Oryzias latipes: one gene and its partners. The protein of the gene in region 1 interacts with the protein of each later gene in a pairwise test. Links are inferred from orthologs where the notes say so. Each region holds a gene or a part of one and is shown in the gene's direction. Other genes may lie near its edges.

Region 1 (7,486 bases):
GGAAACGACAGCTTGACCCTTTCCAACAACATGCCAAACACTACCCAGGGTAAAAAGAACCATCATATTCATTTATCTGTTTTTATACCTTATTTTCCTTTAATTTACATTCAATACTTAACTGTTTTTTAGGTGCAAGTTCCTGGCGACTACAAAAGGTCAAGCATTCATCAACAACATCCAGCTACATAGGCACAAACGGCAAAAAAATAGTGCTGCTATTATTCGTAATGTAAGTGATATTCTTTTCACTTTTTGTAAAGAATCATATATTCTGCTCCATCGCACACAAAAAGAGGTCTATGACTTTTAAAATATTTTACTGCAGAAAAAAGACTCTAGACTTTCTTTTTATATTTAAGTCAGATCAACAGAAACACAACGAAGCAACAAATGAAAATATTATTTTACTTTTATAATATTTTTATTTACTTATAATTTATGTCTTAACCAGTTTAAGTGTATACATGGATGGCTGCCTAAAGAATTAAAATTAAATCTAATCTGCAGCACTACAGCAAGTTTGTTAAAGACAAAAGTCGTTAACCTGCTGAATTTGTCTCTTTTCCATTTGTTGGTCAATGCTAAGCTTAGTTTTGTAAAGTTTACTTTCAAATCTTATTGTCATCAGAGAGTTGTGATTCATGATTCCTCCTTAGATTTCTCAAAATGCTATTTAAAGGGCTTGAGGATTTTAACCATCATCTAGAATTCTGATTTACAGTACAAACCCAAATACTGTAAAAAAAAAAAAAAGAAGTGAAAGTTTTTTTTTTTTTTGCATTTACATGGGGTGTTGGGAGATGGCATACTACATGCCAGCCGTTTCATTCAGTAATTTTAGTTTCACTGTTTGGTTTCGCCTACACGTTCCGCATTTTGTTTTTACGAGAAATGTATGGTATCCCACTCAGACAGGTTAGGTGTGTGAAAGGGAAATATTTGAATTCATAACTGACATGTGGTTGATGTGTTCATCTCTGTAGGTTGCCTCATTGTGATAGAAAAATGGAGCAAACCACTCTAGAACTGGGCATTTTGGATTTCATGACAAGAATGGAGGGCACTCAATCACATCTTTTTTCCTTTAGAACCCCCTTTTTTTTTAAATAATAAAAGAAAATAAAAATTTTCCAATTGTGTGACCGTTTTTGTTTTTGTCAGATCAAAATAAAATATGATGAAAAGAAAGGTTGTCCATGGTTGTCTTGATTTTTGTGTTGGATAAAGAAATGGGGAAAGAGGCCAGGAGGTGAAGCCGGCTGAGGCCTATTGAGCGTTAGAGTTACTATCCAGGATGAAACATCCAAGATCCACGAATAGAAGCACAAGGCTCCAACCGACAGTGTGTCCTGTGAATGCCCCAAGCAATGGAAAGCAGAGGATGCGATACATTTTATCTTGGGAGGACCATGGGATGTTCTACTGATATCGCAACCAAATGACTGGAGCCTACAGGTACATCTGTGCAGAATTTGGAGTGGAAACCCCAAGGTCACAAATGGGAAAGCACCTCTAAAAGTGGCAGAGAATGAGAGAGCTAAGATCCTGTGGGACTCCCAGATCCAAACTGACAAGATGGTCATGGAGAACCAACCAGACACTGTAGAGGTGGACAAAGAAAAGAGGAAAGTCTGGAAGAACTGGAGAAAGCTTTAAGGTTAATTTGACGGTGGTGCCTGTGGTTATCCGATCACTCAGGACAGTAACCCCTAAGGTGGAGGAGTGGCTGTAATGTTAGAAATGACCAGAAGAGTGGCTAAAGCAGATCCCTGGAGAAACATCTCAGTCCAGAAAGGTTCAGTCCTAGGAAAGATACTGCACAGAACCCTCAAGCTCCCAGGCCTCTAGTAGAGGACCCAAGCTTGGGTGAGAAACTTGCGGGGGTGTGAAAAGAGTGTTTAATTTATACCATGTAATTCCCCATTAACCCACATCAAATAAGGGGAAGTTGGATGCTTGCCTTGTCACCTAAACAGCAAGTCTCACTCAGCATGGGGGTTTCTTACCAAACTGCACAGAAACTTCGTACTTTCCCTTTTTCACTGCTTCTTGAAGTGAATTCATCAAATTGTGTTTGGTGGCTTCAACTTTTTTTCTAGTGGTTTACCTGTACTTTTCTGTATTTTTTTTAACCAAAGAAATGTCACTGAAGATTTGTTTGAACAAATGGATGTTTATTAAAACCCTATTTATGACTTCTGCCTAATACTATTCCCCTATTCCACATTGGTTATGTTTTGGAAGCTGTTTAAAATGTTTTATTTTTTATTTCATGTGACCAAATGTAAATATATCTAAAGTTGTATAGTTTGGATGCTGCGTGTCTGACAGGGCAGCCTCACAGCCGGCTGAACTTAAAATGACTCAGAACACACTGAAATTTGAACCACTGTCCCACCAACTTTTCAGAAGTTAAAGTGTGATCTTAAAGAAAACTGCATCCTTCATAATAAAAGCATAGACTAAAACCCACTTCAAAATATGTGGCATTTTGTATTCTTGCTCCAAACGTTGAAAAACAGAAAAAAAGCTAAATTTGAATAAATTAATCATATAAATGTCGCATTTGCTTTGAGACATAAGGGACACATTTATAAATGTTTTTTACTCATTTAGTTTCTTTTGTCGACAGTGTATTTTACTGATTTTAAACAGCATATTTGTAAGGGAAACCCCCCCTGGGAAGAAAAAAAAAACCTAGAGATTTGCTTAAAAGTCGCTTTTCGGGACTGCGTGGTTTTTTTTCTCTCTCTTTTTTTTTTCAAATCTACGTTTCAACACATACTGCATAAGTTACAAAAACATATCTTTCTTTAGCAATAACATCTTCGGGCTTGAGCTGTTAAGCATGTTGAAATTTTTCTGTTTAAGTGACAATGTTTTATATTTTTTTCCATAACGAAACTGAAACAGAACCTCTGGAATCTTCTCATTGAACCCCCACTTTCTTTGCGTAATCGACGATGCGCATGCGCATTGTCAAAGACTACGCTGTTCTTACTTCCTGACTTTGGGAGGTCACGCCAAAGGAATTCTTCTACGCCGATTTCCTTCACAGGGCGATCTCATCAAGGACCTTTTCAAACCACGAACCGAAGACCTCCCTACACGAGCAAAGAAATGCAAGTATTTTATGTTTTTAGAGCCGCTGGTAAAGTAATCGCGCGCTTAGCGAACAAGGCTAACTAGCTAGCTAGTCAAATGTTACATGAAATGTAAACAAACTATAGTTACAGCAAAGGTACGCACTTTTAAATAATAATTTGACTCCTTATGTAAGATTCCTTTATCCACTGTAAAACACCAGCAGTTGTCTTTTTTCTTTTATATTAATTTTTAATCCGTGATGTGTAGCCCTTTAAATGATGTGGGTGGAATCTTTGTGAACAGAGCAAAGTATGCAGTTGATAGTTCGTAGAAACACAACAATGACGGCATACGCATTTGTCGCTCACTGGGCGGTTAGAGATGTTAATTTCAGTTTTGCTGTCGCAAAGACAGCAAAACTGTCTTTGCGACAGCATATTTACTGTAGTAAATATGGCCGTTAGCTTTTGATTTGATCACTTGATCACTGAGGCAGAAAAACGTGACAGTGCAAAGATCACATGCAGTCCTCCACCACCAGCAGATAAAATCCCATGTCACAGCTAAATGTGCACCAAATAGTTCCACGTACAGCGTGTTTGTCAGAAGGAGTAATGCAGCATATGACTGTCCTAATGTGTGGCAACAATATCACACAAGAGTCTCAACCTCCTGTAGAAAACAGTGATTGTTTTTGACTGTGCTGCTAGTACATTTCTGGATAATCTAACAAACATATGTGGCAGATCGCTGAAACCTATTAACAGTGTTCCAACATTGTGTTTTGATGAATCAATGATCTGATTAGCTCTTTAAGAATGGTGAACAGTACATCTGCTACACCCTTTGGCATATAAGTTAACTACAGGAGCCGCCCTCGTGCCCATCCCTTGTGCCTTCACTAAAACATTCATTTTTTCAACTGATATCCATCTGGTTTCCTGAGTTACCGGCTTAAAAGAACTTTAAAGAGCCTAGCTATGTGGACAGATTATGACTATGAATGGAATGGACATTCCATACCATTCTATCTACACACACTCTCAAAAAATGTCCAACTGAAAGATATTTGACTTCTACTTTCTGTTTTTGACAAATAATTTCCTCTGGGAGGTGACTAGGCTTGAATAAAAGTCATCACACCTTTAGTATGTGTCATGAATAAGAATTGCATGAAACACAGGCGTGCTGATGCAATGTTTATTAGCACGATGTGATGTCAAAGGTGGACATAAAGATAGGGAAGCTGGTTAACTTCCAGAATACTTTATATTTTTGACAAATCTGAATGACTGAGGAGGACTGAAGCTAGCAGGAGAACATGGCAACAGAGAGCCCTCGGCAACATGGAGAGAAGCGGCGTTGCTCCATGCCAACAGTCCAGCCAACAACTCAGAGGCGAATTTCTAATGATCTACTGCTGCTCTGCAGAAAAATCTGGGCACTTTTTTGGACAAAAATGGCATAGTGGTAATTAGAAGACCCCTGGGAACACTTTAAAAATGGCTCAAAAGATGATCGGAGTAGGTCTTTAAGTAAAAAAAAAGAGATTCCCCCATGATCTATTATTCAAGGTTCTACACTTCTAACTCAAACCTTTTTCATGTTTCTTTTCTTTTAGATTTTGTGTTTACCGCCACAGCTACTTGTTTCAATGATGTGTGACCCCAGCCAAGATGGGAATTGGGAATCGGACTCCACAATTGATTACTCTAAGATAAACAATCGTCTGGAATCTTTCTACAACTCCAGCTGGAGCAAGAAGGTGTCACCGCTGCAACTGGCTGAAGCTGGCTTCCTCTTCACTGGAGTCTCTGACCGCGTACGCTGCTTCAGTTGCCAGAAAACGGTAGAAAACTGGTCCCAGGAAGATCAACCAGTGGACAGACACATACAGGTAATTGTTTATGTTGAAAAAAAAAATAGTTTAGAAATGTTGGGCAATTCTTTTTCAACTTTTTAAATAATAAAGTTCAACATTTTCCTTCCATGCAGGTTTCCCCATCGTGCACGTTTCTCCGCTGCACACACTTCAACCGTTTTAAGTCAAATCCCCATATGCCCCTCAGCAATGGGGGCCTTCATGATGGAACTGAAGGATATATAGATTACCAGTTGAGAACAAGAGCCATTGTTGATGAGACTCCATATCCACGGAACCGGAATATGAAAAGCGAAGAAGCCCGCCTGGAAACTTTCTCTTCGTGGCCGCGTTCTGCTCCAGTCAGACCTCGAGATTTGGCTCAGGCAGGTTTGTTCTACTTAGGAAAGGAGGATAAAGTGGAGTGTTTCAGTTGTGGAGGCAAGCTAAGTGGCTGGAAACCTGGGGACACCCCCTGGAACGAGCATGAAAAACATTTTTCCCACTGCTTCTACATCCTTGGTCATGACGTGGGAAATGTGCCTCTGGAAAGAGATGGAGGAGAAAATGAAGAGACTGGCAGCAGAAACCAACATCGCACACCTGTCAATTTGGAAAATCTTGACGAGCGACTCGGCACTTTTGCACGCGTCCAGCACCCGATTGACCACGAGCTGCTTGCTAAAGCTGGCTTCTACAGCAAAGGTAAAGCATGTTTGTTCAAACATCCCCTTTACAAATGAGATGTACCGGTAATATTTTAATTTTTCTAAATCTAAATGTTTGTTCATAATATTTTTTTATTATTATTCTAGGAGAAGGAGACGAAGTGATCTGTTTCAGATGTGGTGGTGGTTTGAAAGATTGGGACCCTGAGGACAATCCTTGGGAAGAACATGCCAAATATTATCCTGGGTAAAAACCTCCAGCTTTGCTTTTTCCCATAAAAGAAGGATTATGTATTCGTATAACCCTTGTGCTATCCTATGGGGTCAAGATGGCCATTGACGTGTTCTCCCTACATGACAAAGGTGGACAAAGGTGGAAAGATTTCATGTAATCCATAGACACCAGTGAAGATCACAAATCATTGAAGAAAAAAGGTTCAGCTCACTGTCTAGTGGGTCTAGATGACCCAACTCCCAACGTTAACGTGCCTAGGATAGCACAAGGGATGTAAGTGTATTTATGTATGTATCTTACATCCTTTTTTTTAAATTCCATTTTAGATGCAGCTTTCTTTTATCAGAAAAAGGCCAAGAGTTTGTTAATACAATTCAGCTACAAGAACCTAAATACTCACAACAGGTAAGGCATATTATTTCCCCTCATTTAAGAAATCTGTTTCTGAAGCTTCTTCACTTCCCTAGTTTTTGTAGAAATTGTTTTTTTTTTTTTAAATAAAACAAAGAAGGTTTATTTTGTATTATGCCTAGCCTATTCTCTGTTAAAGAGTTGGTGGGGGAGTGTGTTTAAAACAAAAGCTGTTAGACGTTTCTCATGAGTTCAGACAAAAGGATTTACAAAAAGTGATGATGTGACCCTTTTGTTTCCAGGCTTCAGAACATCAAAATGGATTTTTTGAAGAGGAGAAAGGTAAATATTCTTGGATATGTATCTAAATCTAAAAATGTACACTATGGTATTAGTTAGCTGAACCTTTTGAGAAGGAGAACCTAAGCCAGGGGTCTGCAACCTTCAGCACTTGTAGAGCCAATCAGGTTAATTTTTCACTTACCGGAACCCAGTAGGAGCCATAAAAAGACACTGATTTGCATTCATGTTATTGTTACTATTATTGTAAATATAAATCAAGTTGTGGATTTTTCACAGAAATAAAACAGTCATAAAGATAAATTTGTTTGAAATAGTGAGAACTTTTAACAGAGGTTTACATGACTTCCTTTCAAGATAAAAGACTCTCTGTACCACATATGATCATCTTAATGTAACAAATGTTGTTGTAGGAATTGGGATGTCAGCAGTGATTAAAAAACAACAACTATACACTGTTTAATTTATTGTTGTTTATACCTCTCAGCCAGAAATTTGTAAAAATCTAACAAGCTAAAATGAAACTAGATTTTTGACCCTATGGCGCACTTGCAATTGTTGAATTTTGTTCAATAATAATCTCTTCTAGTCTCAGCGTGCCTTAAGTATGAATTCTGGTTGTGTTTACTGACCTCCAGCTGAATTGCTGTGGTCAAATCGTTTCAAACGTTAGACGATTTTGTTTTGATTGATGTATCGTATGGTCTAAAGAATGTTACTTTTTAAAATGAAAAACATTTTAGTATTCTTCAATATGAGAGCCACAAAGGAGGGGTCAAAGAGCCACATGTAGCTCCAGAGCTTCAGGTTGCAGAGCCCTGACCTCAGCTCAGTCATTTGTTGGGGTTAAATTAAAAGTCAAAAAACATTATCTTCTGCAATTTTACATTAATTACATACGAACTGGGCTGACAAATAATAGAAAACATTGAATTTTCAAGCATGGTCTAAGCAGTACGGCAGAGTTAAAAAAAAAAAAGA
Region 2 (7,774 bases), on another chromosome or scaffold:
ATCATCAGAGCAAGACTGAGGATCGAGGAACAAAATCTATAACGACTGCCGACTTAATCTAGACCTCCACATTGGCGAGAGTTAAAGCCGCACTTCTGCAGGAACACCTCAAATCTAACTTTAGGTCTAACTTTAGGCTTGTTTTGCTGCTGTATTTTCTCTATACTTTGCCGTTTCTGAATAAATCTTTAAGTCTTTTTGAACCAGGGTTTTATAGAGGCAAATGTCATACTATGACAAAAGAGTCTACAATAAAACAGGTTAATTAACAGTTGATGATCAGTGAGTTTCCTGCCTCCATCCTAACCAGAAAAATGCACAATCACAATTAAAACAGTTCAAACGATAGTTTCTTTTTTTTTTTTTTTTTTTTACTTTTATAGTCCATTAAAAACATTTCTTAGGGCATCTGCTCACCTTTCAGGAGAACTCTCTTGTTTCTTAAATCCTGGAGGCAGAGCTGGCCCAAAGAAACCGTCATCTTCATTACTGCTCTGTCTGCACAGAGACCGAATCCAATGTCGTTATTTGGCTATAGAGACAATGTATTGGGATTCGAACCTGAAACACTTTAGTGAACCCACTCAGGCCGGTCTCCAGCGCTGTGCCCCGTCTTTGCTCTTTTCCTGGCGATCTCCGGCTCACTTTCATCCGAAGAGCTCGACGCCTCTTCCCGTTTGTATCCGGGAGGCAATGCCGGCCCAGCAACTGCAGAAAAGATAGATATCAAACTAAAGCAAAAATACTTCTACAAGAGTTAACATGAACTGCTGACGTAGCAACAAAAATTATACTTGGATGTTGATTCCTTAACTTACAGTCATTTTCATTAAGCTCGTCCTCGGAGCTCTCCTTTAGAAACATTGGAGGCAAAGCAGGTCCAATTAAGTCTTCCGACGACATTTTGGACTTTGAATTAATTCACTGTTTTCATCAGATTTTGTTAAACGACATAAAACACTTCACAAACCACAAAACGAAGATCGTCCATAAAAAGCTTTTTTGACCTTTTACACAGGAAGTAAATACATTTGTTTGGTCAAAGGCGGAAAAGTGCTTTCAGAATAAAAGCATGGGTTTATTAATGTCGTATTACTTTGGACTAATGTTTTCAGAAATATAAACTTAATGAGAACCCCTAACAAGTATTAAACTATTTGGATGGTTCATGTTCTTTTTTGTGTGTTTGTGTATTTGTGTGTGCGCATGTGCGTCTGTGTATCATGTTCATTCTTTTATTTTATGTTCTACATATATATATGTTATGTTAGGTTATGATTGTTATTTGTGGTGACGTTGTTTATATAGTTACTGTTGATCTCTGTATGATGACTCAATTGTTAATAAAGTTTTTTGGGGAAAAAAACTTTGTACTAATGGTTTTGTACTAATTAGCTGCTGTATTTTTTTCTCATTTATCAAGCCTTATATAGTCATGTAGTTCATATATTCATATTGTAGTAAAAATGTATTGTAATTAGTGAAAATATAGAAGTAAAGGTTGTCATACTTGTACAAACTGGTATTGAGCAAAATACAATCACTGAGGTAGACCTTGGGATCAACCTGAGATTTCATACTAATATTACAGAATCCAGAAAATTTGGTTGTGCAGCTGAAAATACTACATAAACTAATGTGTTAAGATAAAAGCAAGAAAGAAATTTTAAAGTTTTGCAGTTAATTATATACACTAGATTTTTCCATAAACTTTCAGATTAAAAACACTCCATGAAAACACTGTGGCTAATGGTAAATACTTATAAAGCGCTTTTCTACCTTGAATTTGGTCTAAAGGGATCTTGAGTCAAAGTCACATTCACCCATGCACACACACATTCACACACTGATGGTGGCTCTGCTGCCATGCATGGTGCTAGCCTGTCCCTCCAGGAGAAACGTGAGGATCAGTGTCTTGCCCAAGGACACTTAAACATGGGTGGGCAAGGCAGGAATCAAACCTGCAATACTCCAATCAGAGGTCAACCTCCCCAACAATGCACCACATGCCGCCTCTAAAGGCAGAAGAAATTGAAATGTAGTGACTGAGGTTGAATCTTCAATGTTAACTTTGATATAATCAAGTTTGTTGTCAAATAAAGAATACAATTCAGGCACAAAAGAAATAAAAATAGATCAGGAGGGAAAGATGAAATGTTTGAATTCCAAGATCTACCAATGGTGCAAAGGGAAAATAGGTACAATTTTAGTGCTCACAGTCCACAGTCTAGTACATTATACACCCTGTTATGCACTTAGTCCAGAAAAGCGCAGTGCTAGGAACAGCTAAGAAACTGCGCAGGACCCTCAAGCTCCCAGGCCTCTGGTAGAGGACCCGAGCTTGGATTTTTATAAATTACCCACTTTATCAGACACTTACTTGATTCTGCTCTGGGACAGCGCCTGTTAAATGTTCTGGGGGTAGGCTATATTTATTTATTGAATTATGAACAGTATAGGACTCCATAGGGCTAGATGGTTTAAACATTGATAAAAGGACGTTGAGTGAGAACTGCCAGGATGTAGTCAAGGAGGACATGAGGGTGTTATATAGTGGTGGAGAATACATAGGACGTGGTTAGGCAGAGGCTTTTGCTGTGGAGACTCCTACAGGTTACAACTGGAAAGCTAAAAATAAGCTCTGCATCTCATTGTGAGGTTCCACTCCACGGCAGAAGGGGGCAGTAACGCGCTGCTTAGGTTTCTTCAATAAAGAAGAAAAAATGAGGACCGGAAGCTTTCTTCATCTGGATTTTCACCATTTTGGCTAAATTTCTTGAAATTGACGCACTTGTTAGTGCTCTTTTGCAAATTTTCCGTAGAATAATTTAATTCTGTATAATGTATTAGACATATTTTATAACAGACATTTCATAATGGGTAGAAAGGACAGAGGAGAGCGGGGTAAGTGACGTCGTTACACAACAACAATCTCATTCTCATCACTCACTCATTTTTAATATTTTGTCTTATTTTTTATATTGTCATAATACATAAGCTTCTCGATTTAGTTTTAAGCAAATGATAGTAAGATAATTCTGCTGCGAGGACAGAAGGGCAGGTTTGTTTTTGACTCACTGTTATTACTTTGATCAGGTCAGATCTGATGTAAATAAGTCGTCTTAAAATAAATAACTAAATAAACATCACATCAGTGATGTCTATCTAGAAAGCAGTTGTGTGAGAATACTGTCTCATTTCTTGACCTGCTGGGCTGTAGAAAAGAAGTCCAAAAAACGTTACTATGAAGAGGAAGAGGAGGATGAAGAGGTAGCCGGTAACGAGTCCCAGGAAGCCGTACCCGCTGCTGCAGGAAAACAGGTGGATGAGTCCGGTACAAAGCTGGATGAGTATGGGGCCAAAGACTACCGTGTTCAGATGCTGCTGAAGAATGACCACTCTTCACGGCCGCTCTGGGTGGTAAGCTGTGCTTGATGGGCTCTTGGACTCATTTCAGGCTTCCAGCTTCTGCGCAACTGCAAAGTATTATTATTGTTTAATTTTTTTATTACCTCTTCTAGGCTCCAGATGGGCACATCTTTTTGGAAGCCTTCTCACCAGTGTATAAATATGCCCAGGATTTCCTGGTGGCCATTGCAGAGCCTGTGTGCAGACCTAACCACATCCATGAGTACAAGCTGACTGCATATTCTCTATATGCAGCTGTCAGTGTGGGACTGCAAACCTCTGATATTGTGGAGTATCTGCAGAAGCTCAGCAAAACATCTGTACCAGATGGAATTGTACAGTTTATAAAGGTTTGACAGCAAAATCTGATGGAAAAGGTTTTTATGGCGATTGAATATTATTATTTATCTCTGTTTGTTTTTGATCAGCTCTGTACTGTGAGCTATGGCAAAGTCAAGCTGGTGCTCAAGCACAACAGGTCAGTTTATTTGGATGGTGCGTTAGTTATTTTATCACCAAGCGTCTTTTTAGCACCCTTTACGGGTTTTGTCTTCTTTCAGGTATTTTGTGGAAAGTGCCTTCCCTGATGTGATCCAGCGCCTCCTGCAGGACAGCGTTATCCGTGACTGTCGTCTTCGCACTGCCGGCGGAGCAGACTCTGAGCTCATTACTGAGGTCATCCACAGCAAGCCAGCGGTACGCTAAGCAGGATTTCTTTGCATTTAATGACATTTTTTACATGCAATGCTCATATTTGAAGGTACTTTAAAATTCTTTAATTTGTAAATAAAAAAAGTGAAAATATGTTTAGCTAAGGTGTCTAATGCACAGACGGATGTGCTTTCTGTGTGTCACAAAAGATTCTGTGGAAAGATGCATTTCTTTTTGTTTTTGACAGATCACGAAATCGGTTGAAGAAAGAGGAAGTGCTTCCACTTCACAGCAGCCTGATGATGGGCAAACGTCCACCCAACAGGTTCCTGAGGACATCTTCAAATACTATGAGCAAATGGATAAAGATGAAGAAGAGGAGGAAGAGACTCAGACAGTCTCCTTTGAAATTCGCCAAGTATGCTTGGGATTGGTGTCTAAATATAACCACAGTTTTCTTTTTGGCACTTTACTTCAAATTTAACATTATCAAGAAGAAATCGCCAAGTTTTTCTCTCTCTTTTTTTTAAATCTGATTTGCTGTAGGAGATGATTGAAGAGCTACAAAAACGTTGCATTCAGCTGGAGTACCCTCTCTTAGCCGAGTACGACTTTCGCAATGACACGGTTAACCCGGACATTGCCATAGACCTGAAGCCCACTGCTGTGTTGCGGCCCTACCAGGAGAAGAGTCTGCGCAAAATGTTCGGGAATGGACGTGCACGATCTGGAGTCATCGTGCTGCCCTGCGGTAAGCTGCCATGGAGATTTTAAGAGAACCGAGGATGACTAAAAAGGCATTTAGGCATTTAATTCGTTTAATTAAAGGATTTGGAGAGACAGATTTTTAGTTTAATATCAATAGCTTGGAGTTCGTTTTTTTAAAAAGTCCTGCTTTTTATTTTTACCCATCGAACTAAGTCATAAAAGTATAACTAGCTTTACAATCGAAACATTTGGATTCTACTTGTTATGTTGATCCTCTAGTTTTCTGTTAATAAGGAATTCAGGCAGGATCATTTATTTATGTGTTTTTTCTTTGTGGTATTGCCATTGTACTATTGCAAATGCAAAACCTTTTCAATAGATTGTTGCAAAAAAAATAAAAATCTCAGTATTGGACTTAGTTTCTATCAGTATGTCTACTTCTGACCCACAGGTGCGGGGAAATCTCTGGTGGGCGTCACGGCAGCGTGCACGGTGCGAAAACGCTGCCTGGTGTTGGGAAACTCTTCCGTGTCCGTGGAGCAGTGGAAAGCTCAGTTCAAGATGTGGTCCACCATCGACGAGTCGTTAATCTGCCGCTTCACTTCCGACGCCAAGGACAAGCCTATCGGCTGCTCAGTGGCTATCAGCACCTACTCCATGCTGGGTCACACCACCAAGCGATCCTGGGAAGCTGAAAGGGTCATGGAGTGGATGCGGAGCCAGGAGTGGGGACTCATTATTCTGGATGAGGTGCACACCATTCCTGGTGAGTTCTTCAGCTTTGTAGTTTAGAGCATAGTTTTATTTAACATGCACTCTAAAGCTGCATATGTATGTTCCAAAAGGACAATTTATAACAGTTTCAGATGCAGAGAGAGGAACAGAAAGGATCGGGGCAAATGTTTTTGTGAAAGAATTGATCTTTGCATAACTACTCTCATTTCTCTGTAGCAAGAATGTTTCGTCGGGTTCTCACCATCGTCCAAGCTCATTGCAAACTGGGCCTCACTGCCACACTGGTCAGAGAAGATGACAAGATTGTGGATCTGAACTTCTTGATAGGCCCGAAGCTCTATGAGGCGAACTGGATGGAACTACAGAACAACGGATACATAGCCAAAGTCCAGTGTGCAGAGGTGAGAACTCCACTACAGTTAAGGCCACAACATATTTCATGATTATATCAGCTTTGGTCATTTGCCTTTTCTTGACTTTTTAACCTGATAAATATTGAGTTTTTTTGTTTTTTTTTAGTCAAAGCTGTACTGAATGTCATTTGATAAAAAAACTAAACAGATCAATTGGATATGTTTTAATCAGTAAATTACATCAAAATAAGAAATATAAATAAATTATTCAGTTACTTTTTTTTTTGCTTTCTAAATTTCTTTTAAAACATTTTCCTTTTTTATTTACATATCTTTTAAATCAACATTCATTTTTTAAACGTGTCTTTTCACAATTTTTTTTAATGCTACCTAAAAGCTTGTCTGAATAATTAATTATAAAAAATTATTTAAAATATTTCAATGAAAAGCCACTCTATTTATATTATATTCAAATTAAATGTAATGTTTAAAATTAAATAAAGAAATAAATACATTTTAAAATATTTCAATTTATAGCTACAGATCAGAAAAAGTTTTAAAAAGTCTTCTGGACTTGGTTTGTTTTTTTAAGTTGAAGATGTTTTGCCTTTTATCCGAAAGACTTTGTCATGGATGAAGGAAAGTCTCCACAAATATGCAAGCTGCAGTTTAAGCTTCTTTATAGCCTATTTTTGTATGAACTTGCTACTATATAGAAATGAGTAAGAATTCACTTACTTTACTTGCTTCTTCTAACACAAAGATGGAACATATAAAAACTTCTTTATCATTGTGCTAAACAGTGCCGTAACTGTTGTCTTAAAACATTTGTCCATTAATTCTTTAACGAGGTTTCTTTAGAACTTAATTAATGCTGGTTAACGTCTCAAAGATCATTAAGAGCTATTTCTGTGAGGTACAACAGAAACGGAAGGAGGAAGGATCTGCCTCTAATTATTGTTCAAATTTCCAATCTCCTCTTACATCACAAGGATGTCAGTGTTCCTACCAAATCTGCATAATACATTTGTTTTTTATTGTGTTTGACTGGGATTATTTGCTCCTTTACTGTTAATGTTTTTTTTAGATTGTCTTCACCTGTATTCCTTTCTTAAACAATAGATCAAATTATTCATTTGGTTATATTTTTTACGGTTATTTGTGGTCTCTGTTAATAAAAGAAAAGCATTTCTTCTTGGATCACACTGTCAGTTCAGGCAGTCTGAGTGACTGAACTGTCTTTGCTTCAGGTGTGGTGCCCGATGTCTCCTGAGTTTTACCGAGAATATGTGGCCATTAAGACGAAGAAGCGGATTCTGCTTTACACGATGAACCCCAACAAATTCCGTGCTTGCCAGTTTCTCATTCGCTTCCACGAGCGGCGCAACGACAAAATTATCGTGTTTGCTGACAACGTGTTTGCCCTGAAGGAATACGCCGTACGTCTCAACAAGTGAGTTTTCACACTTTGACTAAATCAGCATTTTGTCTTTGTGGAAAATACTTTTTTTATGTGTTCTTTTTTATTTTTTTCAATATTTCTCTCAAGGCCCTACATCTATGGTCCTACCTCTCAGGGGGAGCGAATGCAGATTTTACAAAATTTCAAGCACAACCCCAAGATCAACACCATTTTTATTTCCAAGGTAAATCAGATCCTTCAACTGTGTTGCACCAAGTTTAACTTTTGTCTTTGCATTGCCAAACTTTGGAGCCTGCTCTCCGTGAACAAGCGTTGAGAGGATCTAATTGAAATGAAAACAACAAAACATCTTCCAATTGTCAACGTAACCTGGGATCTGATCCCGTGCTGAAAGCACATAGTCCTGAATTACCATTTTGTCACCGCTAGTCTTAATTCAGGCAGTCCTAATTGCAACCAATTAAATGTTATCATTCTGTTGCGTAGATCATCTGAA
Region 3 (7,564 bases), on another chromosome or scaffold:
CAAGTGCATAATATAATTCTCACAACGTTCCTGTTTGCTTTGCACTTTCCAGCCTGATGTTTGTGCTCCATGTTTATGGATTAAGTGTCTCCTCAATGAAGAGCTCAGACATGAAGCATTAGAGCAGCATGTTGATGTGTGCAGCACTCTCTCTCTTTCAGGTGACTTTATGGTCTCGAATGTAGCTTTTCAGTTCTGTTAATCCCCCTGGGGGGGGGGGGGGGGGGGTTAGAGTGTGTTGAAGGCGTGCAGAACCTCAGATGGCTTTATGGGCCTCTTATTGCACTTAATACTGTTTGTTTTAATCTCTTGGGACAGCGTCGTCACATTCTCACAGGTGTTTATGGCTGCTCTGCGTCCGCAGCACTCACGCTGACCTTTCTTCCTGCGTGCGGCGCTCTGACTCTGAAGCAGGTCCGCTGGCCGGTTAAAGGTGGACCATCTCAAACGCAACACCGGGTTATTGTGACCGTTACATAACGTAATTTACAGAATACCCCCACGGGCCAATTAAAGGATAGGGATGTTTTGTAACCTTGTCGGTATAATCTGGTCGCCTTGCGTAACGGCGGCTGGGTTTGGGATGAGCCCAGAGCGCGCGCAGGCTGGCATGGCACACCGGCAACGGATTGTAAACACGGGGCTGCACGCGCAGGCCTCACGTATATATCTGATGAAGAGGAGAGCCACCTTCTCTTCCCGCCACCTGCAGAATGCGCAAGTCTCCAGCAGCCCACTGCAGCCCCGTGGCCTCGAGATTTATTGCACTGCACAGACAGAGCCGCGCGCACGGATGAAAGGCTGTGGAGCTTGGAGCCCCTGCATATGGATGCAATGACAGCACCAGGGTAGTTTGCTGCTGGGAAAAAAAAAAACAGCATAAACGTGCAGAGTGGCCTGTAAAAACTGACAGCCCTGGGTGATGCTTTAGTTGAGGATGCAGAGCAGTAATTGAGTCAGGGAGCCGCTTACCTCCAGCGTTCGGATCTCTTTTTGTGTCAAGTCGTTGGATGTGGCACATTTGGTCCGTAAACCCTCCAAACTAGAAATGCTTATGTCAATCATGTTCTGCACCAACTCGCACTGCTGCAAGGCTTTCTGCAAACTGAGATGCTGCTCCTCGCTTTTTGTCATCTCCTCGTTCATAGTTTAGCGCGCGCTGGATGGTATTTTTTCCCCTTAGTTTGTATTTCCAAGACAAAAAAAGAAGAAGAAGAACAGAGGGTTAAAAAAAGAGGATAATTCAAGAAAGAAACGTGGAGGAGCCCGCGGAAAAGAGCAACCAGCACAGCGCAGTGGAAAGAGATGCTGCAGGCTTAGACTCTGGCTTTGAGCCGTGAGAGGGTCGCCTCCATTGCAACAACAGTCCTCGCAGCTCCAGCTGGATGATCAAGGATGTAAACTAGACCAAACTCAATGTGAGGATGCGGAGCGGGGCTGAGCGGTCTGCTACAGCATCCATCGGGCGTCCTTTCCGTTCTAATGGATGCTGAGGAAGGGGGGGGGGGGGAGAAAAAAAAGGGGGGGAAAGGAACCAAATTTGCTGCTCAGCGCATCCTAAACAGCCGGATCGGGTAGAACCTGGCGGTTTTAAAGGTGCTGATGTGCGGATTGGATGCAGGTACTCCCTGTCTCCCTTGGCAGCAGCTGCATCCCGGTTCGCTCCCACCACACCGACATGTTTCCCGTCAATCAAAGCCACAGCAACAGCATCGCAGCGCCGCCGTAAGGGGCCGCTCTCGCGTGATCACGGCGCGCTCAAGTGGGTTCTCGTCTGCTGGACGAGAAACGCATCATCTGCGACAAATGATCTTTATTTTTCAGGGTGATATTTCATCAAATTAAACATAATTCAGCAATCTTACTAAAATGCAAACGAAGTGCCTGTTAAACTAAAAGGTTAAACAAAATTTGAAAACATTTTTTAAAACATTTATTGTGTGTACTCACCCAAGTTATTAAATAATGGGGGGGGGGGGGGCATGTTTTACTTATTTATTTATTGTTTTTGGTTGTCGCCTGGTTAGGTAGCTAAATAGTTAACGTCTAAAGCGTATATTCTAAATGAAACGTATTAAAAACCAAACAGATTAAGAAACTTGTGTATTTTTCTATTAATTTAATTTACCTATTTTACGAAATACTTATTGCACAAGTTAGATAGAAATGTATGTACATCAGGGGATTAAATATTGTTTTTTTCCTGTTAAATGCTTTAAAGTCTTATACAAATCTTTAAAATTAGTCTGATTTCCACAGCACATTAATTTTCGTTCTGAAATGTTCAAGAAAATCGGTCAAAAATGTTTTCGCCTACGGATAAATATCAAACTAACACAGAGATTTCTATTTTACAAGATAATCAACTCAAAAATGTTTATAAAATAAACAAAAAACAATTTTAAGCTTTACTTTAGAAAATATTAAAATTCTTCAATTGATATTGTGGTTTTTTTTACAGTTTACCTTCAACATATCACCATGATCCCACCCACCGGAAAGCAAAACGACATTCTGTTGGTGTTACGTCATGACGTTGGCGTGCGTTTCTGTCGCGAGCGCGGCAAAAGGAAGCGACATAGAACAGACGGGGTTTTTCCTCTACTTGCCCGGCTAATAAATAAAGTTACCGGGAGTCATGGCGTCTACGAGTAGGACCCCGTTACAGAGCAGAAACCTGCCATGGTGAGCCGCGACGAACGAGACGTTTGAGAAGCGGCGAGAATGTCGTTGTTGTCTAAGACTAAGCTAGCTGCTCCTTCAAGTTCTTGTTTGTCTCCAGTCAGAGGCTGTGCTTTTTTTTTTTGTTTTGTTTTCTTTTAAGTTTGTTCAGCTTTTTAAAGGCCTACACACTTCTTAAAAAGAAGGGAAAAAAAGAAATATTCTACTAAACAACGTCTTTGTTTTTGTGCTAAAAGTGTTTGTTTTGCATTTCAGGGTAGAAAAATATAGACCACAAAAACTCGATGATTTAATTTCACACAGAGACATCCTGAGCACCAGTAAGTTTGTTCATTTAAGGAAGCAAATCGACTCTGTGGTGTCCAGAGTTCTGAAGGTCTCCATGTCTCTTCAGTCCAGAGGTTCGTCAGAGAGGACCGGCTTCCTCACCTCCTGCTCTACGGGCCTCCTGGAACCGGAAAGACCTCCACCATTCTGGCCTGTGCCCGGCAACTGTACAAGGACAAGGAGTTCAACTCCATGGTGCTGGAGGTACCGTCTCCACTCAGGATCTTTAGTCTGCAGGGATTTTCTCATCTCCAAGGGTCCTGATTCTGATTCTCTTCTGTTCAAGCTGAATGCTTCAGACGACAGGGGTATCGATGTGGTCCGAGGTCCCATCCTGAGTTTTGCCAGCACCAGAACCATCTTCAAGTGAGTCGGTACCGCTCCAGCTCTCTGTGACCTTCTGCAGAGATTCCCTCCAGACAACTCCAAACTCCTTTTTCCTCCCTTTGATCCCCAGGAAAGGCTTCAAGCTGGTGATCCTGGACGAGGCCGATGCCATGACCCAGGATGCCCAGAATGCATTGCGGCGAGGTGAGCCATCTGTTCGCCTAAGTATGGCTTGCTGTGAGCGACACGGCTCACTGGGCAGCCAAATCATTTGGCTGATGATGCATGGGTCTGCATGAAAACACAACCGTTTTCTAAAATAATCCTTTGCATTGATTTTGTTGATTAAAATTTTTTTTTTCATAGGTGTTGAAAGTAGGTTATCGTCAACGATCTCATAAACGAATTAAGATGTTTGCAGATTTTCAAAATAAGACGATTTTAAGTAACTTTATCCCATTGAACTAACGTTTTGGCAGGTAACAGTCTGTCTTTTTATTTTTGTAAACTTCCTGCTGTCTCCCGTACGCCTCAGTGATTGAGAAGTTCACAGAAAACACCCGGTTCTGCCTCATCTGCAACTACCTTTCCAAGATCATCCCCGCCCTGCAGTCCCGGTGCACCAGGTTCCGCTTCGGGCCTCTGTCGGCGGACCAGATGATCCCCCGGCTGAGGCACGTCATTCAGGAGGAGAGGTGAGGAAAACCGGGACCGCTTTCGGCCTCTGAAGTCTCTCACTTTCTGAGTCTGTCAGAAGCATTAAAAACGACTGTGATGTTGACATGAAAAGATGCTTTCAAAGGATTTTTGAAAAATTAGGACTATAAATGGAATGAAAAACTTTACATTCTCGTTTCTGCCATTCGCATTCATCGCTTTTTAAGCTTTTCATTAAGAATCTCTCAGTTTTCTTTTTTTCTTTTTTTGATCCGATTTCACGTTTTTTTATGCTGATACCCGAGTCTCGCTCCAATACTTTTATAACACATTTTAAAAGTTGAATAAACAAATGCAGGTTTTCCCGTTTTTATTCTATTCCCCCTTTATTTTGTCAGAAAAAGAGCACCTCTGTGAACAATTAAGTACAAATAGTGCAACCATCAACTAGAAAAAATAACAAACTATTAACTGGTAAAAATAGTTGATAATTAGTCATGTGAGAAAGTTTGGTGACTGTAGCTTTGGCTCTTCAGAGCTTTTTGGATCAGATGTGATTTTTTTTTTTTTACTTTGGGAAAAAGAAATACCCATTTTTTTAAAAGGCATGAATATGATGAGTATTTATGACTTAACTTATATAAACAGAACCATTTATGTATTTGTGTTGTTTTTGAGAGTTTATTATCTTCTGATCACTTTTTCACAGAGCTTTCTTTTTGTAGACGGTCCCTTAGCAGCTCTTTTCACTGCCGTTTCTCTCTTTAATTCTCCGTATTTGAAAAACACATCGCATTTTTCTTTAAAGGTCATCGTTTACGTTAAGACAAACCAATAGAGACACTTGCTGTCAGTTTCAAATGTTAATTAAAAGAATTTTGAAACCTAGAAGTCCAAATATCCTTCAGACTTTACCAAACTGTGTTTGTGCGCCTCCCGCTCAAGCTAGTGCCATGTTTTTGCTGCGTTTTAGGGCAATAAGATGTTGTGATCCGTCCATGAGATGCAGACGTCTAGTACAGGATTTATCTGTAAAAATAAGCTTTAAATGCATAGCGCTGATCATAATAATTTTCCTCTTTAAACTTCCTTTTGGCCTTTAATGAGCTGAATCTTGTCTGGTAGCATCGACATCACCGAGGATGGGATGAAGGCCATCGTGACTTTATCGTCCGGCGACATGAGGAGGTCGCTGAACGTCCTGCAGGTGGGACCTCCTCACTCCTCCTGCCGGGATGTTCTCCAGCAGAGAGGAAAGACTTTTCGTGTCCTTTCAGAGCACCAGCATGGCGTACGGGAAGGTGACGGAGGACTCCGTGTACACCTGCACGGGACAGCCGCTCCGCTCGGACATCGCTAACATCCTCGACTGGTGCCTCAACAAAGACTTCACCTCGGCTTACAAACGTATCCTTCCATCAAACCCACATACAGAGCTGGAACCGCTCTTTTAGAAATCTAGACTTTCATCCGTTAGATCAGTGATCCCAAACCTTTTTTGGCCTCCAACGTTTAACGTCGGACTATGGTCGTGTCCGAATTCCTTCCCCTTTGTAGAGCTGTCCGAATCTACAATTCCCAAATCCAGTGTCCTGGAAATTTCCCAGAAGTCTCTGCGAAAAACCAGTGTGCATCAATGCTCACTAGATCGATAGACCACAATGCATTGCGTCGGAACATTTTTTGCCATAAAAAAAGTATTTTTTAAATAAACCATCAACGTTTTTATCTTCAGCAGACTTGTAAATACTCGTCGCAAAACGCTCATAGTAATTAGATTTTCACTTTGTGAAATCGATGACGTCATATCCGCCGTTAAAAAAAGAAAAGTAGTGAGCAGGGTGTCTAAAATCCAGGGCACTACATAGTGCAGCACTGTATAGTTTTTTTTCACAGCGATCCGAACGCGGCAGAATCAGCTTTTCAAATTAAAATGCTCATGAAATGAAGTCTAAAAAACATTTTGACAATATTTTACAAATAATGAAGATTCAGTGAAACGTAGTTTTTAAAACTCATTTCAGTCACGTTTCACTTGGATTGACTGAAGAAGTTTCTAAAATGCTTTTTTTTGTGTGAATCTTTAACCTTTTTGATGCCAGAAATCCTCCAGCTGAAAACTTTGAAGGGTCTGGCTCTTCATGACATCCTCACCGAGCTGCACCTGCTCGTTCACAGAGGTAATCCAGCAGAAATACTCCCATTACCATCGTGGAGGGAGGATTTTTTTTTTTTATCCTCCTCACAGTTTCACGTCTTAGTTTTACATCCTAAAGCAAGCATCTCCTCTGAAACGTTTTCCTCTTCCTCTGCTGAAGTGGATTTTCCTCCTGCTACCCGCATGACTCTGCTGGTGAAGTTAGCCGACGTGGAGTGAGTGCCGCCGCGCCGCCTCCCCCTCCCCCCCCCCCCGCATGAACGCTACAAATGTGCTGACGCGTCTTTTTTCACTTTCAGACACAGACTCGCTTCGGGAACGGACGAGAAGATCCAGCTGAGCTCCATGGTGGGGGCTTTCCAGGAGGTCCGGGACCTGGTGGTCAGCGAGGCTTCATGAAGTTCAGCAGAATTAAATACTTCAAAGACCCCAAAAATGTCCTCGGTTTTTCTTTCTTTTGTTGGTGCATAAAATCATTAAAATAAACACAACTTGCCGGTTAAAGCCAGATTGTTCTTCCTGAAAAACATCATCTTTCAACTTGGAGATTGAATCATTTTAATAATTATTATTGTTCCTTCCTGTTATCCAGTATTAAGGTGTGCAGGTTCTGCAGAAGCGCTCCGACCACCAAAGGGTTAAAACAAATATTTACAAAATAAATTAGACATAGAAAACTGTGATATTCAAGCTAAATTAGCAGAACATTTACTAAATGCTTCTTAAAGTAGTAGTGCAATAAATGAAACTCTTAGTGCAGGATTATTTAAAGTAGAATACACGAGCGGATTTTCCTTCTTTATACGGCAGTTTTCCATCAGAAAACCAAAACCAAAAATAAAGGCCTTTTGAGATGAGAGTGCGGCGCGCTCCTCCTCAAGACTCCCAGTCCTCCTCCTCGTCATCAGAGGAGGAGGCGCAGTTCCTGAGGCGTTCGGGGATGTTTTTATAGGTGAGGTATTCCACGATCCTCTTGGGGAGGGGCAGCGCCTCGATCTGCTGCGTGGAGACGGAGAAGCGCAGAGCGGACCGGCACAGGTGGCACAGGCTGGGGACGGTCACGGGCGCCCTCCAGAACCGGACGTGGCCGTCTCGGGTTCTGTGTGAGGAGAGACGGCCGTGGAGTTAAGGTCATCGCCGGAGGGGAAGGTCAACAGGATGTGGAGGGCGATCAAGTTCGACATTCAGCCCCGAAGGGACAAATATAAAAGCAGGTCTGTTTAAAGAGCCGCTCCAATTATCTTTTGATCTACTTTCACAGCGTTCCCAGCGGTCTTTGAATTAGAATGATGCAGTTTTTAGCCAAAAATCTGAAAAATGCTGCATGAACTCCATTGAAAATTGTGTTTTTGTGGCATTTTTCTGATGATAAAGGACATGTACAGAAAATTTAGCTCAAACTTGCATCTCCGA

What was found.
Region 2: the proteins of E3 ubiquitin-protein ligase XIAP (region 1) and ercc3 interact in binary tests that used the Homo sapiens proteins (3 or more experiments, as listed by UniProt). The two-hybrid records come from large-scale screens. The link is inferred for Oryzias latipes from reciprocal best matches to the Homo sapiens genes XIAP and ERCC3.
Region 3: the proteins of E3 ubiquitin-protein ligase XIAP (region 1) and rfc5 interact in binary tests that used the Homo sapiens proteins (3 or more experiments, as listed by UniProt). The link is inferred for Oryzias latipes from reciprocal best matches to the Homo sapiens genes XIAP and RFC5.

What each region holds. Positions count from the first base shown.
Region 1 is NC_019868.2:22,021,128-22,028,613, forward strand, and holds the start of E3 ubiquitin-protein ligase XIAP, read left to right. Parts: upstream 1-2,974; 5' UTR 2,975-3,125; intron 3,126-4,711; 5' UTR 4,712-4,744; coding exon 4,745-4,987; intron 4,988-5,085; coding exon 5,086-5,656; intron 5,657-5,766; coding exon 5,767-5,866; intron 5,867-6,180; coding exon 6,181-6,259; intron 6,260-6,507; coding exon 6,508-6,547; intron 6,548-7,486. Other genes in the region: E3 ubiquitin-protein ligase XIAP, read left to right, coding at 1-49, 133-232, 987-1,001.
Region 2 is NC_019861.2:14,777,842-14,785,615, forward strand, and holds the start of ercc3 (general transcription and DNA repair factor IIH helicase subunit XPB), read left to right. Parts: upstream 1-2,707; 5' UTR 2,708-2,876; coding exon 2,877-2,904; intron 2,905-3,220; coding exon 3,221-3,420; intron 3,421-3,521; coding exon 3,522-3,758; intron 3,759-3,836; coding exon 3,837-3,886; intron 3,887-3,968; coding exon 3,969-4,104; intron 4,105-4,306; coding exon 4,307-4,477; intron 4,478-4,605; coding exon 4,606-4,810; intron 4,811-5,218; coding exon 5,219-5,533; intron 5,534-5,718; coding exon 5,719-5,903; intron 5,904-7,105; coding exon 7,106-7,308; intron 7,309-7,404; coding exon 7,405-7,501; intron 7,502-7,774. Other genes in the region: gpalpp1 (GPALPP motifs-containing protein 1), read right to left, coding at 418-498, 585-708, 819-903. UniProt on the Homo sapiens protein: ATP-dependent 3'-5' DNA helicase/translocase. Binds dsDNA rather than ssDNA, unzipping it in a translocase rather than classical helicase activity. Component of the general transcription and DNA repair factor IIH (TFIIH) core complex.
Region 3 is NC_019867.2:3,441,004-3,448,567, forward strand, and holds rfc5 (replication factor C subunit 5), read left to right. Parts: upstream 1-2,497; 5' UTR 2,498-2,638; coding exon 2,639-2,685; intron 2,686-2,937; coding exon 2,938-3,002; intron 3,003-3,076; coding exon 3,077-3,213; intron 3,214-3,295; coding exon 3,296-3,375; intron 3,376-3,466; coding exon 3,467-3,540; intron 3,541-3,871; coding exon 3,872-4,031; intron 4,032-5,118; coding exon 5,119-5,200; intron 5,201-5,270; coding exon 5,271-5,400; intron 5,401-6,095; coding exon 6,096-6,366; intron 6,367-6,450; coding exon 6,451-6,550; 3' UTR 6,551-6,587; downstream 6,588-7,564. Other genes in the region: ksr2 (kinase suppressor of Ras 2), read right to left, coding at 973-1,146; wsb2 (WD repeat and SOCS box-containing protein 2), read right to left, coding at 7,028-7,250. UniProt on the Homo sapiens protein: Subunit of the replication factor C (RFC) complex which acts during elongation of primed DNA templates by DNA polymerases delta and epsilon, and is necessary for ATP-dependent loading of proliferating cell nuclear antigen (PCNA) onto primed DNA.